2 linked regions of the Drosophila melanogaster genome follow. The protein of the gene in region 1 purifies or fractionates together with the protein of each later gene. This does not show direct contact. Each region holds a gene or a part of one and is shown on either strand. Other genes may lie near its edges.

What was found.
Region 2: the proteins of Drep1 (region 1) and Drep4 fractionate together in Drosophila melanogaster (co-fractionation; 3 studies listed by BioGRID, with this or other methods). This does not show direct contact.

Annotation. Positions count from the first base shown.
Region 1 is NT_033778.4:12,042,821-12,050,851, forward strand, and holds Drep1 (DNA fragmentation factor-related protein 1), read left to right. Parts: upstream 1-1,791; 5' UTR 1,792-2,043; coding exon 2,044-2,088; intron 2,089-5,155; coding exon 5,156-5,371; intron 5,372-5,654; coding exon 5,655-5,926; intron 5,927-5,984; coding exon 5,985-6,345; coding exon of another isoform or gene 6,346-6,372; 3' UTR 6,373-7,352; downstream 7,353-8,031.
Region 2 is NT_033779.5:13,283,335-13,288,268, forward strand, and holds Drep4 (DNA fragmentation factor-related protein 4), read right to left. Parts: upstream 3,129-4,934; 5' UTR 3,076-3,128; coding exon 2,836-3,075; exon of another isoform or gene 2,618-2,835; intron 2,492-2,617; exon of another isoform or gene 2,485-2,491; coding exon 2,361-2,484; exon of another isoform or gene 2,307-2,360; coding exon 1,318-2,306; 3' UTR 578-1,317; downstream 1-577. Other genes in the region: Uvrag (UV-resistance associated gene), read left to right, coding at 3,606-3,979, 4,040-4,907.

The sequences.
Region 1 (8,031 bases):
TTGCATATCAGCTTTCTGTTCGTTAACAGGCAGACGCAAGCTGTTACTGAAAAGGACTGAGCCGTGTTAAATCGCTTATGTTATCCTTTTTTTTTATTGCGCAAAGGATAATTAGTTGTGTCTGCCCTTTTGGCCGAATTTAAAACGTCTGTGTCTGGACAAAAGATTAAGTTGTTAAGATGAAATGTTTTTTGTTATTCTGTTTCTTTGTTTGCTCTTTGTCCTTATAATCCTCTATCTTATGTGTATTTTGTTTTTTGGCTCAGTTAAACTAAACATTCTCGAGCGGCTTGATGCTTCTTAGTAAAACCAATATCGCCAGGCGTTGATTTATTGTTTTCCCTCGATATTGCCTATTGCCTGATTGCCCGTGAGGCAATTACCTGTCACCTGGCTTCGAGGTGGAGCTCAACCCAGATTCCGGCCGATGTGTCAACGTGTCCGTGGTCAATGCACCGCGGTGCATGCACGTGACCTGCGAACTGCAGGCGACACAGCCACCCACACAAGCCAATGTCCTTGTGCGTCCTTTCGAGTGACCTGCGCTTAAAATAGTCACAGCTACCACCCACTGCTGCTTCTCCTCCGCAGGACACGTAGAAGTTACTATGTGCAGTGCAATGACAGCAAACGGGGCAAACTGCCAGCAGCAGAAGCAGCATCAGCATCCGAGGAACCAATGGTGCGCACTAGGATGACAATTTAAGGCTGCCCCATCTCTGATCTCCCCCATACTTGCATGCCCACCTCTTTTCCGGGCTATTCAGTACCGTTTTATACGTGGAAAAACTTTTGAGAATTATATAAAGTTAGTTGATATTCGTATGACTAAAAGAAAACTACTCATTCCTATTTATACCTACATACCTTTATCCTTTATGGAATCCATTTGCTCAATTAGGCGCTGATAAGTATGCAATAAGTTATAGTTTTTATTAGTTTTTAGTATCATAACAGAATCTTTATTTTTCGCCGTGCACAAACTGATGAGAACCCAATCTGGGGCCACCTTCCGGCTTTGGCTTTCCTTTCATGTATTTTGGCCATTTGTCAAAAGTTTGCTTTTTGCTCTTCTTATCTGGACGGTTCGTTGATGTGTGCATGGCAATAGATGTATATAGATTTAAATGGGTGTTGGCCACTTGTGTAGAAAGTTAAGCGTAGTCCAACTGCTCTTTTGGCCGGGTTCCAAGCGGGCGAGGGGATTTCGAATTGACAACACCGGATATCATTGGGCTGATAATGCGCAACCCCTCCCAATGGACTAATTGAATCCGAAAGCACCTTCCGATGGAAATAGAGATTAGATTGCTGGAATCACCTTAACTTTTCAGCCAGGATTGTTCCAGCAAACTCTTTGTGTTTTCTAGGGACTAGGCCACAGCCAAATGTTAACATATTCAGCGAGAGAGAACGTGTTTTTGACTATGTTTGTTTTCTCTTTGTAAGCTTTATGTTTCAATATATTTAAAATTCTAATCTGTTTAGTGTTTTCTTTTAGAAGCACATTATTACCTATTTTACAAAAAATTGATACAATATTAATTAATTAAATAACCAAAATCTACAGGGAATAATTTATAAAAAAAAAAATATAAAAAAAAAAAGTGTTAGGCTTCAAAAATATGTTTACTTATCATGATTAAAAAGAAACATGGCCAATAGGACATAAAACAAATATTATTTGAACCTATCAGTTAACATTCATTTAAAAGCGAGCACTCGCAGTTCGAACTCAACATCTGTTAGAAGCCCTTTCTCTGCGTATAAAAGGCAGTGCTTTTGAGCAAAACGCGCTCATTTCAAAACCGGTGCTCATCGCAACGAAAGCTCCGCTGCGGAGCCGAGAAAATATTGTTAATTCCCATTTGAAGTGCAGCTTGTGGAAGGAAATTCCAAGTTTGTTTGTTCGGACGCCGAGTGCAAGTGCAAGAAGCAAGCGAAAAGTAATCAAATCTATAGAAAAGTCATTTAATGTGGAGCAATTAAGCCTGGAAATAAAGTGCATAGTGAATAAGTAATTTAGTTGGAGCAAACAAAGCCATGGAGACTGCAGCGAACTCGGGCGACTCCAAAAAGCCTTTCAAAGTGAGTTCCCCCTGTAATTGTAAATGGAAATAAAGGCCGCAGACGAACAATTGCATTTTAAGTGCATGCATTATTTTCCTGGCATGTCCATTTTTGGGCGTTGTTGTTTTCGCCTTTGTTGTTGTTGGCCGCGTGCTGCGTTCGCTACTTTTTTTCCTTTTTTTTTGGATTCTTATGGAAACTGGGTTGAACTTCAGAACTCAAGAGAGCCAAAAGCTCAAGCTAAGAGAGTGCCGAAAGCTCAGTAATAAGCATTAACTGCCTGAAATTTGACTTTGCAAATTCAAAAACACTATTTAGTTGCTTTCTTTCTCTTTGTCCTTTTTTTTACATGTTTGTCTAGCTTTGCATTTGCCTTTTGATTCGAGTATTGGGAATTGTTTGCCTTTAGCATTTGTTTTACTTGACTGCTGGGCCATTGTTTCCTGTTTAATTTGTTTATCTGCCGCTTAAACAGCAGAAAGCTGTTTAAAGTATTATGGGGATGTAAAAAACGTGCTTAAGGTTGCAGAAAACCACTGGAAGTACATGCAGCTGACAACTCAAAGGAAACCAATAAACCACAAAGCTATTTAAATTGTCTGTGAAACACAGAAAACAACTTTCGTAAAACATGACTGGAGATAACATCCAGGAATTCCCTCCCCCACTTTATCCATTAAAATGCCGCTCCTTATTAAAATATTTAATTCAAAAACCACCAAACGCAAATCGGCTTAAAAGCTGTCAAATACCATGACAGCCATGAAAATGCCATTAAAAAGGGAAAACTTTTCATCCCGACATGTCGCTGTAATTAGCCAACAGCCACGCCCACGACCCGCCTCAGGCATTTTGTTAATAATTTATTAAACAATCTACATAATGCCGCGGCATAGTTCAAAAGCAATTTAAAGTTGTCGCCTAATTTCCCCAGCGACTCGAAAATCTGCGGCCTACGCCCATCAAATATTAAAATGTCCTGCGACTTGTGGATTCTGCCCGCATCTTGGATGCAGATGATAGAGTTCCTGGCACGTCTCCTTCGGCTGCTCCTAAAACGGAGCCAGACGCCGGAGGTCGTTGCACGTTCATCTACGTACGTATGTGTGGACCAGGACCCTCGGGTCCTGATGGCTGAGCAGCTCGAGTTAGTTGAGATTTATAAGCCCTCAACTCGCTGCTGCTCTACCAATTTGCCCAAGTCGTTTTGCATACACTTTTGTGTATAAACTGGTCTTCTAGAAAAACACTTAACTGATTTCATCTAGACTTTCACATACATTAGCCTGAACTTGTAGTGATGCTAGTTTGGAAATTTGTATCTTAAACAGTAGCAAGTAGGTAACATTTGTGTTTGCTCATTTCAATATTTAAATATTATTCTTATATTTAAATATTAAAAAATAAAGTTTTACTTACCACGATGTGCCAAAAATTTGCTCTTAATGATATAACCTAATAGCATTTCCATTCAAGAAACAACTTGAAACACTTTTGAAACATGTTTACTTTCCGAATAAATCTTGTTTCTGATTTGTATAAGCTTTGTATAATTTTGCGGGTAATTAGATAAACTGCTAATTGAATTGCGACCGCTTGAAAAATCGACGCCACTTGAAAAATCAACTAATGCGATCGACTAAAACTTTTGACAAGTTTCCGAACAAAAACTATGCTTTTGTTTTCGATGCTGCCGCGACTCCCACTTGTCAAATGCGCCAGTAGTTGGGCAAAGTTTTCATTGTTACAAAGTTCTAGCCCCACACGCCGCATTCATGATATGATTAATATTTGGAGCTTTCGCGGCACAAAAGTTATGTGGCTTTAAGTATTTATAAGATAATTTAGGGACGACCTCCTCCGCTATCTGAGCAAATGGAATTGGGATGATAGAGCAGCTAGGCGCACGAGTAAAATGAAATGTTCGAAATGCAAACTCGAGTACAATTTCATTTAGTCACGGTGCTCTCAAATATTCATGAAGGACCTCAAGGAGTTGCACGCTGTCCGACGTTTCGGGGCTATAAATTCTGGGTGGAATGCATTCGTGCCGCTTGCTCCCTTAAAGTTGCGCCTCCTTGAGCCTCCATCTGGACGGGTCTAATTTATGTTTCGTTTAACCTTAGTGCTGAGGCATCATTTAACATCGCATGCAAGTTTAATAGAGCCAAAGGCTTGCGTCCTTCGTCCTTGCAACCGGCGAACAGCACTAACCTATGGCATTCGCGAAGGAGCATGCAGCATGAAGAATGCTGACATGCATAACTTGTCAAATAAAAAGAAAATTTAAAAGGATACGCCAGGGAATCGGGGAGTGGGAGATAAACGACAAATATTTGCACCGCAGCTGCTAGAGTGCATGTCAAACTGCGTTCGAGATCTCGAGCAAAAGTAGAGGAGCTCATGGAACTCGGCATTCGCAACTGAAATATGCACAAAGTCGTCGGGCTGTGGGAGGCACTTTAAGGTGGTGACATCCCCCACCGGGAAAAAGCCGTCCATAAATCTCAATTAGAGCAAATGGACATTTGACAGCAGGACATGACGTGGTCGCAAATATTGCGTTCATTTATTCATTGCGATTTTTCGGGGAATGGAAAACAATCAGCGTCGAAATGTGGTTGTGTATTTATTATTTAGCAACTTGCGCTACTATTTATCTTTTCTCTTTGTTTAATGGAATTTTCAAAGATTGCCTAATTAAATAACTATAAAAACAGGGTAAAGTTTGCGTTGAAAAGAGAAACAGACTGAATAATTAAGTGCAAGCGGGAGGATAATGAATAAATCAGGCGGAAAGTTTCCATAGTTTCTCCATTCCGTTCACGTTGTTGTCTCAAGAAAAAGGGTGCAGCTAAAGGAAAATTTACAACTTTTCCCATTTCGATGTTTTTCCGTTTTCTTATTTTGGGTGCCGACGATGTGAATATTTTATAGGACCTCAGTTGTTTCCCATCTGACATTAATTTATTATTCATTTGATGAGCGGGGCCATGTGTAACTGCTACTGTCTCCGTAATTGCAAACGTGTAATGGTTTATTATTCCCTTTTCCCGGCACTGTCCTTCTGCGTTTTTATGGCCAGGTCAAGGACGTAACACGCAACATTAAGAAGGCTGTCTGCGCCTCCAGTCTGGAGGAGATCCGCAGCAAGGTGGCGGAGAAGTTCGAGAAGTGCGACCACCTGCCCACCATCCACCTGGACTCCGACGGCACGGAGATCGATGATGAGGAGTACTTTCGCACCCTCGACGAGAATACGGAACTGGTGGCCGTCTTTCCCGGAGAACATTGGATCGATGTGAGTAGCCCTTAAATAAAAGGAAAAGGAAAACAGGCACTTAAAAATAATTATATCAGCACCTTTTTTATTTAAATCACCTCAATAAATTCGTTTTGCGATTGTGTAATTTTCATTTCTCAAAGTGAACACCGCTTAATTGGATAGCTCATTTTATGTGTCCCTCCTTTTATCTGCCATAATGACTAATTGCATTATTTCTTGAATGCCATGAAAGAGCTCCATGAGCATGGGACCAAAGCCAGGAAGATTAAATTAAATGCTATCTGCACTCTGTTTATAGCCCACTCACTACGTGACGATAACCACTCCACATGGCAACGAGGCAGGAACTGGAAACGGAGAGCTGAACGGAGGAGGCGAGGGCGACACCACCGATGCCAACAACTCGGAGTCGGCTCGCATCCGCCAGTTGGTGGGCCAGCTGCAGAACAACCTCTGCAACGTGTCCGTGATGAACGATGCCGATCTGGACTCACTCTCCAACATGGATCCCAACTCGTTGGTGGACATCACGGGAAAGGAGTTTATGGAGCAGCTCAAGGATGCGGGAAGGTGAGTTTAATTCCTTTCCCATATACCACTTAATTGTAGCATGATTTCATGACTTTAGGCCATTGTGTGCCAAGCGGAATGCCGAGGATCGTTTAAATCTGCTGAAGCTATTGAAAGCTGGTGCCATTTTCTGCTCGGAACGTTATCCCGAGGATGCGGAGGCCATTGACCGGGAGATTGGACGGCAGTTGAACGAGGCGGAGAGTGGACAGATGAGCACCACAACGACGAGCAACACCCGCACCATCGAGGTGGTGCAGTGCGACAATCAAAACACGACGATAACAATTACGGTGGGCGAGGCCACCACCACTTGCGCCACAGCCAGTGGAGCGATGGGATCCTCCGCTGCCGAAGCGGCTGCCAATGAGGCCAATGCCAATCCAAATAGAAATCCAAATGCCAACGGCGACATCTGACTGCCCATTTTGGGCAGTCTTAGGTAAAGTCTGCCGGCGGAAAACTAACGCAACTGGGTGCGCCAATCAAAATCAAGAGCCAAAAGGATATACCGAAGACATCAGTCCTGCAACATTGGGTTAACATAAATCGTATTTGTAGCATGTAATTAGGCACTGCGAAATCAGCAAAAACGAAACGGAGACGAAATCAAGTCATTGAAAATGCTTCATAGTATCTAAGAGCAAATGAAAGTTAACGAACAATACACGTACTAGATTTAAACACCGGGTCACGAGGCTCAAGAGAACAAGAGGCCCGCGCAGATTTGAAAAGTCTTTTAGCAATCACAGTCAGCGGAATCGTATTTAACCGCATATACACGAGTCACACCAAGCCGTACTAGATGAATAATAATCAAAGGTTAGCGAAATAAGTATTATACTTGAGGTAGAATCCCACAACCAGAGCGAACCCCAATTGGATGGAGTTGTCCCAGGAAACTGTTGATTTGCTTACCGTGTAAATTGTGTTACGAATAGTAGGTAGAGTGGAAACGCACATCAAATATTGTTTTTAGACCAATGCCATTGTGAATGTCATTCGTTAAAGGCCAATTGAGACTGACTGAATTTATGTGTAATAGGTTTTTTCGTGGTTTGAGCGGTTCGGGAAAGATCGGATGGAAGCCTCCAGCGCTGCTGCCCTGTCCTCCCAGAATCCCCGTCTTCCCGCCCCCGAATCCATAGCCAAATGAATTTAAGCGACAGCGCAAACATTGTTAGCTAATTAAACAATAATGGAACACAATAACGCAAATTGCAATTGCCCAATCAAAGTTGGTAACTGTAACTGTCTACAATTCGAATAAGCAATAAGGGAAACCGTAAACGTAAACGAAATCTAAAACCGAATGCAAACAGTGAACAATTATTAAATATAGTGAAAAGCATACAGTAAATGCAAGTGAAAACCCCGAGGCAAACTATATACACGAAACCAAGTAATAAATAAATGATTATTAAACTAAAGTTGATTGAACTAGCATAACTGGCAAACGGGGCGTATGCGCAACGCACAAAGCGTGTGCAACAGGGCGTATGGACTGCATCCTGCTCTTCCGCTGGCAAAAGAGAGTTTCCCCTTCCTTCACCGCTTCTTCCATTTCCCTTTTTTCCAGTTCGAGAGAGCAAGAGAGTGGGAGTCCTACACCTGCTGCTGCCATATAATTGCATTACTCGACGCCATTCTCTTTTGCCATTCAACTTCCTTCGTGACGTCACTGCACCATGACGTTTGCAGGTCCTGGCTAGCTGATTGCGATGGCCTACTAACACAGTTCAAAGCTCCCGGGTGACCCAAATTCGTGACGACAGCGCCCCACAGCAAGGGTCTCTTTGTGGGCGTGGCCCTGGCTTTGATGAATTGAATCCAGCGTCCTGTGGCCTTTGCATACTCAATATCCCCTACTAACACAGCACATCCCTTTTTCGGTTCCCATTCCTTGGCTGCTCTTTTAATTTGCGCCCTCGACGATTTTCATCCTGCTGGCAGGGGAAAAAAGAAAAATCATGGGGCGAAAAGTGCCCAAAAATATTAAAAATGTAACTGAAAATCGCTTTGACTGCTTTTGATGTGTATGATGGCATTTACGGTGGGCTGCCTGGCCAAGAAATTGTCACACACACTTGAGTTTGTAATTCTTT
Region 2 (4,934 bases), on another chromosome or scaffold:
ACTCTTCTTGGTTTAATCTTTTTCAGGACCTGGTCAATCGGATCTATAATTATTTCTCAACGCCATAGAAATCAATTATAGCAACTCAACAGCATCATAAAGAAATCGAAACGAAACTGAATATTAATCAGATTGCTTGTTATAGTTATGTAGTTTAAGTACCAGACACTCTGAGGATCGCCACAATCAAATAACTTGGGAACGGGAACAAGTTTTTAGTAAAATTTCTTTACACTAACAAACATCATTGTAACTGAGAATCGAAAGTTTTTATTGTTGAACGCGATTTGGTAGCAGCACTAAAACCATACAAAACAATTCTAACACAACTACGAAGCAAATAGCGAAAGCGAATATATACTAATCCTAAAAGTTAAGATAAAGAATGCAGGTGCAATGAGGTAGCAACGAAACGAAACAAAATCCAAGAAATCGACTATGCTTGATATGTATCCGGATAACACGAAAGCGCACATCAAACACGACTAATAATATATTAAATATTTTTGTTACTTGCGAACAATATTATTTCATTTATGAATATTATCTTTTGTTTGTCATCAATATTTATTATTTTACTTAGTTCGTATGCATACGAACGTTCTGCACATTTATTTGAATATTATTATTTGATACATAAATAAACTATATTTTGTGTTGTACAATTTTATATGCAGTAAACATTTTTAGTAAATAAAGAAGTCAAATCAAAAAACTTGTACTTGTTTGTATACAATATCGATGGAAATAAAACCGACGATTTGGCTCTTGAATACATGGCCCATACAAAAATAAAACACTTGTAGAGGTGCAGAGAAGCCAAGTGTAGCAAAACCTTTTCATACTGTTACGTTTTTGTTTAAATTCGTTACATGAGTATACATACTTCATAACATACAATATTTTCATATTTCATAGTTTGGACTTGCTGATCGATGTGTAACGCCAACTTTAAATTGTTAGCTACTAGCGTTACAATCAACTAACTTTTAACTCTAGATTATATACCGATATTGCATAGTCACTTAATTTGAATAGTTTGAAAAGCTATATGAACATTAAATGCATATGTTAAGTATGTTAATAGTTTACGTATTTACTATGAAAAACCTTCAACAGTAAGTTTTTATAGTTGGCATCGAGATAATTTCCATTTGTACAACTTATCCCATATGAGATCAGCAATATAATATGCTTAACAACTGAATATACAATATTTGTTTAAAAATAGCAACAAAACTCGTAGATACATTTTGTAAAGTTATTGTGTACAATATTGCTTGGCTAGGTAACTTTTATATATTTCTCACATACCATTTAAGTGGCTAGACTGTCCACCTGGACTTCCATCAGCTCTTGCACAATGCGATACTCATGACAGTCGGAGCACAGTAGGCGACCATTCGAACGGTTTGAGCGCTGCGCCTTCTCATGACAGACAATGTGCACTAGTTTGAGATTCTTTAGGGAGAATATTTCTAGAAAGTACTCCAGTACTGAGATATCGACCACTTGCTTCTTATGAATTGAACACTTGGTCTGCGGATGACTCACAAGTTCTTCCACATTTGCAACAAGTGCGGGAAGGATTGTGCGGCACAGTTCGATTTGGTGGTCCAGATTCCAGACCTGAAACAAAATGAGATTCTCACGCGAAGCGTACGGATTAATAGTGTGCTGCTTAGAGCAGCTGTTGCCATTCTCCGAATAGGAGCCCTGGCAATAGAAGTCACCCAAGTCGGAGCACAAGGAAGTGGACCATTCGTCGAGGATGCAGTTTTCCTTGGTGTACTCCCTAATCACCTGCCTCAGTCTCTTGCTGGGTATCCTGCCAGCGTCTGTTTCCTCGTCGCCCAAGTGCTGCTTCAGGAATTCATGCTTTTGCTTGCAATTCCGGTCAAACATCATGGAGAAAAAGTCGCAACCGATGAGCAGGTATCGAAACTTCTCCAGCACAGAGTTTATCACTTGTCGGGCCTTGGCATTTTGGCGGTACAAGGGATTGCGGGTCAGCTCCTCCTTGGCCTTATAGTAGTAGCCTCGCACACGTGTCTGGGCACGTGTGGCCATAGCTTCCTCCTTAGAGTGGAAGCGCTCCTCGCCGCCCGTGAACCACTCCACGTGCTCGGCCTTTAAGCTGAGGTGGGTCTTGCTGTTATCCAGGACGCGTCGCTGCTTTTGGTGTTCATACTCCGTTATCATGCGGCGGAACTTTTCCGGATGCTGTTCGATAAAATCGTAGAAAATGTCAGCCACCTTTAGCAAAGGCGATTGTTGTCGCATCTTCTCAAACTCAAAATCGGCATCTAATAGAAGACAGATTAATTGTGATTAAGTTAAATATTTAAACTGCAGCTCACCTGTTGTAATGACTGCATCCGGGCCAGACACTATGAACAGCGTCTGGGCGGGTAGGCTTTTTAAGTACTCATCGTCGGACACCTCGAAGCCATCAGAAGCCAAATACAAATGTGGCTCGAGAAGCTAAAAGGTAAAAAAAAAACGATTTAATTGTAATGCCCTTGACATGGCCGAATTATAACGAGGCCAGGTCGCCCAATTCCTGGTTCAGGGGCCTTCAGTTTGTTTCACATTTCTCTTTTTTTTTTTTTGCCAGGCAAGGACGTTCCATCAACAGGTGGTTAGCTCTACTATACAGGACATGCGCATTGGCATTTACTAGTGGCATTGAAAGAGAGCCAAACAAACGCGGAAGCCACTGCCAGGGACATGGCCTTGAAAATTACCAGAGCCAGGAACTTTCAGCCCATCTACGTGGGTGGGTGTATATTTCGCGCTTTTACGCAGGAGTTTTTCCTGTTTTTTTTTTCTTACCGGGAACTTGCTTTTTGCCTTGGCTATCAGCATTTCCAGGGAATTGGCTCCGATTCCGTATTTCCTCGTTCGCTCGTTGTCAGTAACCTTGTAGCCACGCATTGGAGCACCTGCTGTTCCCCTGGATTCGGATGAGCTCACATCCTTGAGAACTTCGCCTGTTGGCTGGCTGCTTTTCTTGTTATTCGAGCTGCTGCGTGTTGTCGGTGACATGATTGCATCTCTAATGTAGCTGATCATCGTTCTGGCTCATAATAAAGTCAACTTTGGAATGTAGTCCTCGCAGCAAGTTTCCTTATCCGCGGACAAAGCAAAATAAACTAGCAGAACAAGGCATTTTTCGCGCTTCTCAACACTAGATTCTCATTGAAAGATTCTTTAGTTGTGCTGCAATTTTAGCTAAAAATTGCAAAAAGCTATATAATAATAATTTATTTTTTCCCGTGTTTTGTAATTAACGAAATATTTTTTATATTTTTATTAATCAATTCAAATTGATAAAATTTTCATTTATTCTTAAATTAAATAATGTGTAAATTAATAAAATGAAAATAGCCAAATTAATAAAATACAAGTTGAACGGCGCATTTCCCACCACTATTGCCTTCAGTGTTTTGCAGCACTTATGCATCTAAAAACAGCTGTTCGGGTAATCATTTTTTTTGTTAAAAGTTTCTGTGGAAAAACTATAACAAACGTAGTCTTAGTGTACAATGATCTGGGCTACGGGCTCCGCGTAATCCGCAGCTCACCCGGAAAGGCGTTTTACGATGAATCTACGGCCGCGATGCCGCAAGTGGCTGCCCCTAGCCACCCAGCAACTTCGACTGCGGAACCTTAACAGAATTCAGGGATTCAATATTGAGTCCTGGCCGCATGAGAAGTCGCTGGAGCTAGATGATCCGGATGATGTGCTCCTCTACTACACACTACACACGGACAAGGCTAGCGAAGCGTTCTACACCAGCGAAAAGCTGCCGCAGCGTCACCAACAGCAAAAGTGGGCGGAGATTTGTACGGACGACGAGGCCTGGCGGAAAACCAATGCGCAGTGTGTCTGTGTCAAGGTGTGGAAGCACTATTCGGCGGAAAGAAGAGATGGCCAACCGCCTGAGGTTGAGCAAAGACATAAGGATGTTTTCGGGTAAATAGGAGACTTTGCTTGCAAATAGAACTCTGCTATCATCAACCAACTTACTTCCAGAAGATCCCAGTTAACGCCCAGCAGGCTGCCACGCCCTCCTGAACTACTGTTCAGCTGGGGCGTCTACTTCTCCGGCCTTATACCTCTGTCTCCCCTCACATTGTCCCAGTGCGGACGAAATTGCTTGGTCTTTCAATTGAATGGCGAGCAATTTGCCTCCCCGTCGATGATAAGCGAGCAGGCCTTGCAGTCGCAGCTGCATTTGCACTACCAAAAGTATGCGGAGGAAGAGAAACTAGAAGAGCCGCAGGATGAGGGCATAAACTCGCCGGCCGTTAGTCGTAGTTCGAGTCCCGTGCTGCGAATGAGTACGATGCGCTATGCACAGCTGAAGTGCCAACGGCAGGAGATTCGGCGAAGCAACAACCTCGAAAAGCTTCTCACGTTGCAACGTCTGCAACGCTTGCATCAGCAGAAGCGGCGTCAAATGGCCGAGGTTTGCCGAGAAATAGCCCGCCTCAGTGTACACTGTGTGACCAGGAACGAGCTGCGCTTGAAGCCCCGCACGACATCGCTGTCCGGCGACTACTCCGCCCATCAGTACCATTCCATGGGCCGCGCCCTGAGCGTGTTGCTCGCCGAGCAGCAGCAGATCGCGCCCCTCACGCTTTATAATGCCCAGCAGCTAACTAGAAGGATAGAAGCGCTAAGCAGTCAACAGCGGCTACTTAAAGCGGAGCGGGAAACGTTTCGCCAACGAAACGAGCGCACCCGTCAACTTCTGAAGGAGATGAGAGAACAGCGGGAGGCACAGCAATGGGAGCTCCACAGCCAGCGACATCGACTGGAAAAAGAACGTCTGGAGCTACGAACCCTGGCACCTCAACATCTGGAACAGCGCGATCAAAAAAGACAAATAGAACGGCAGGTGGGGCTGCGGAATCAAATAACATTA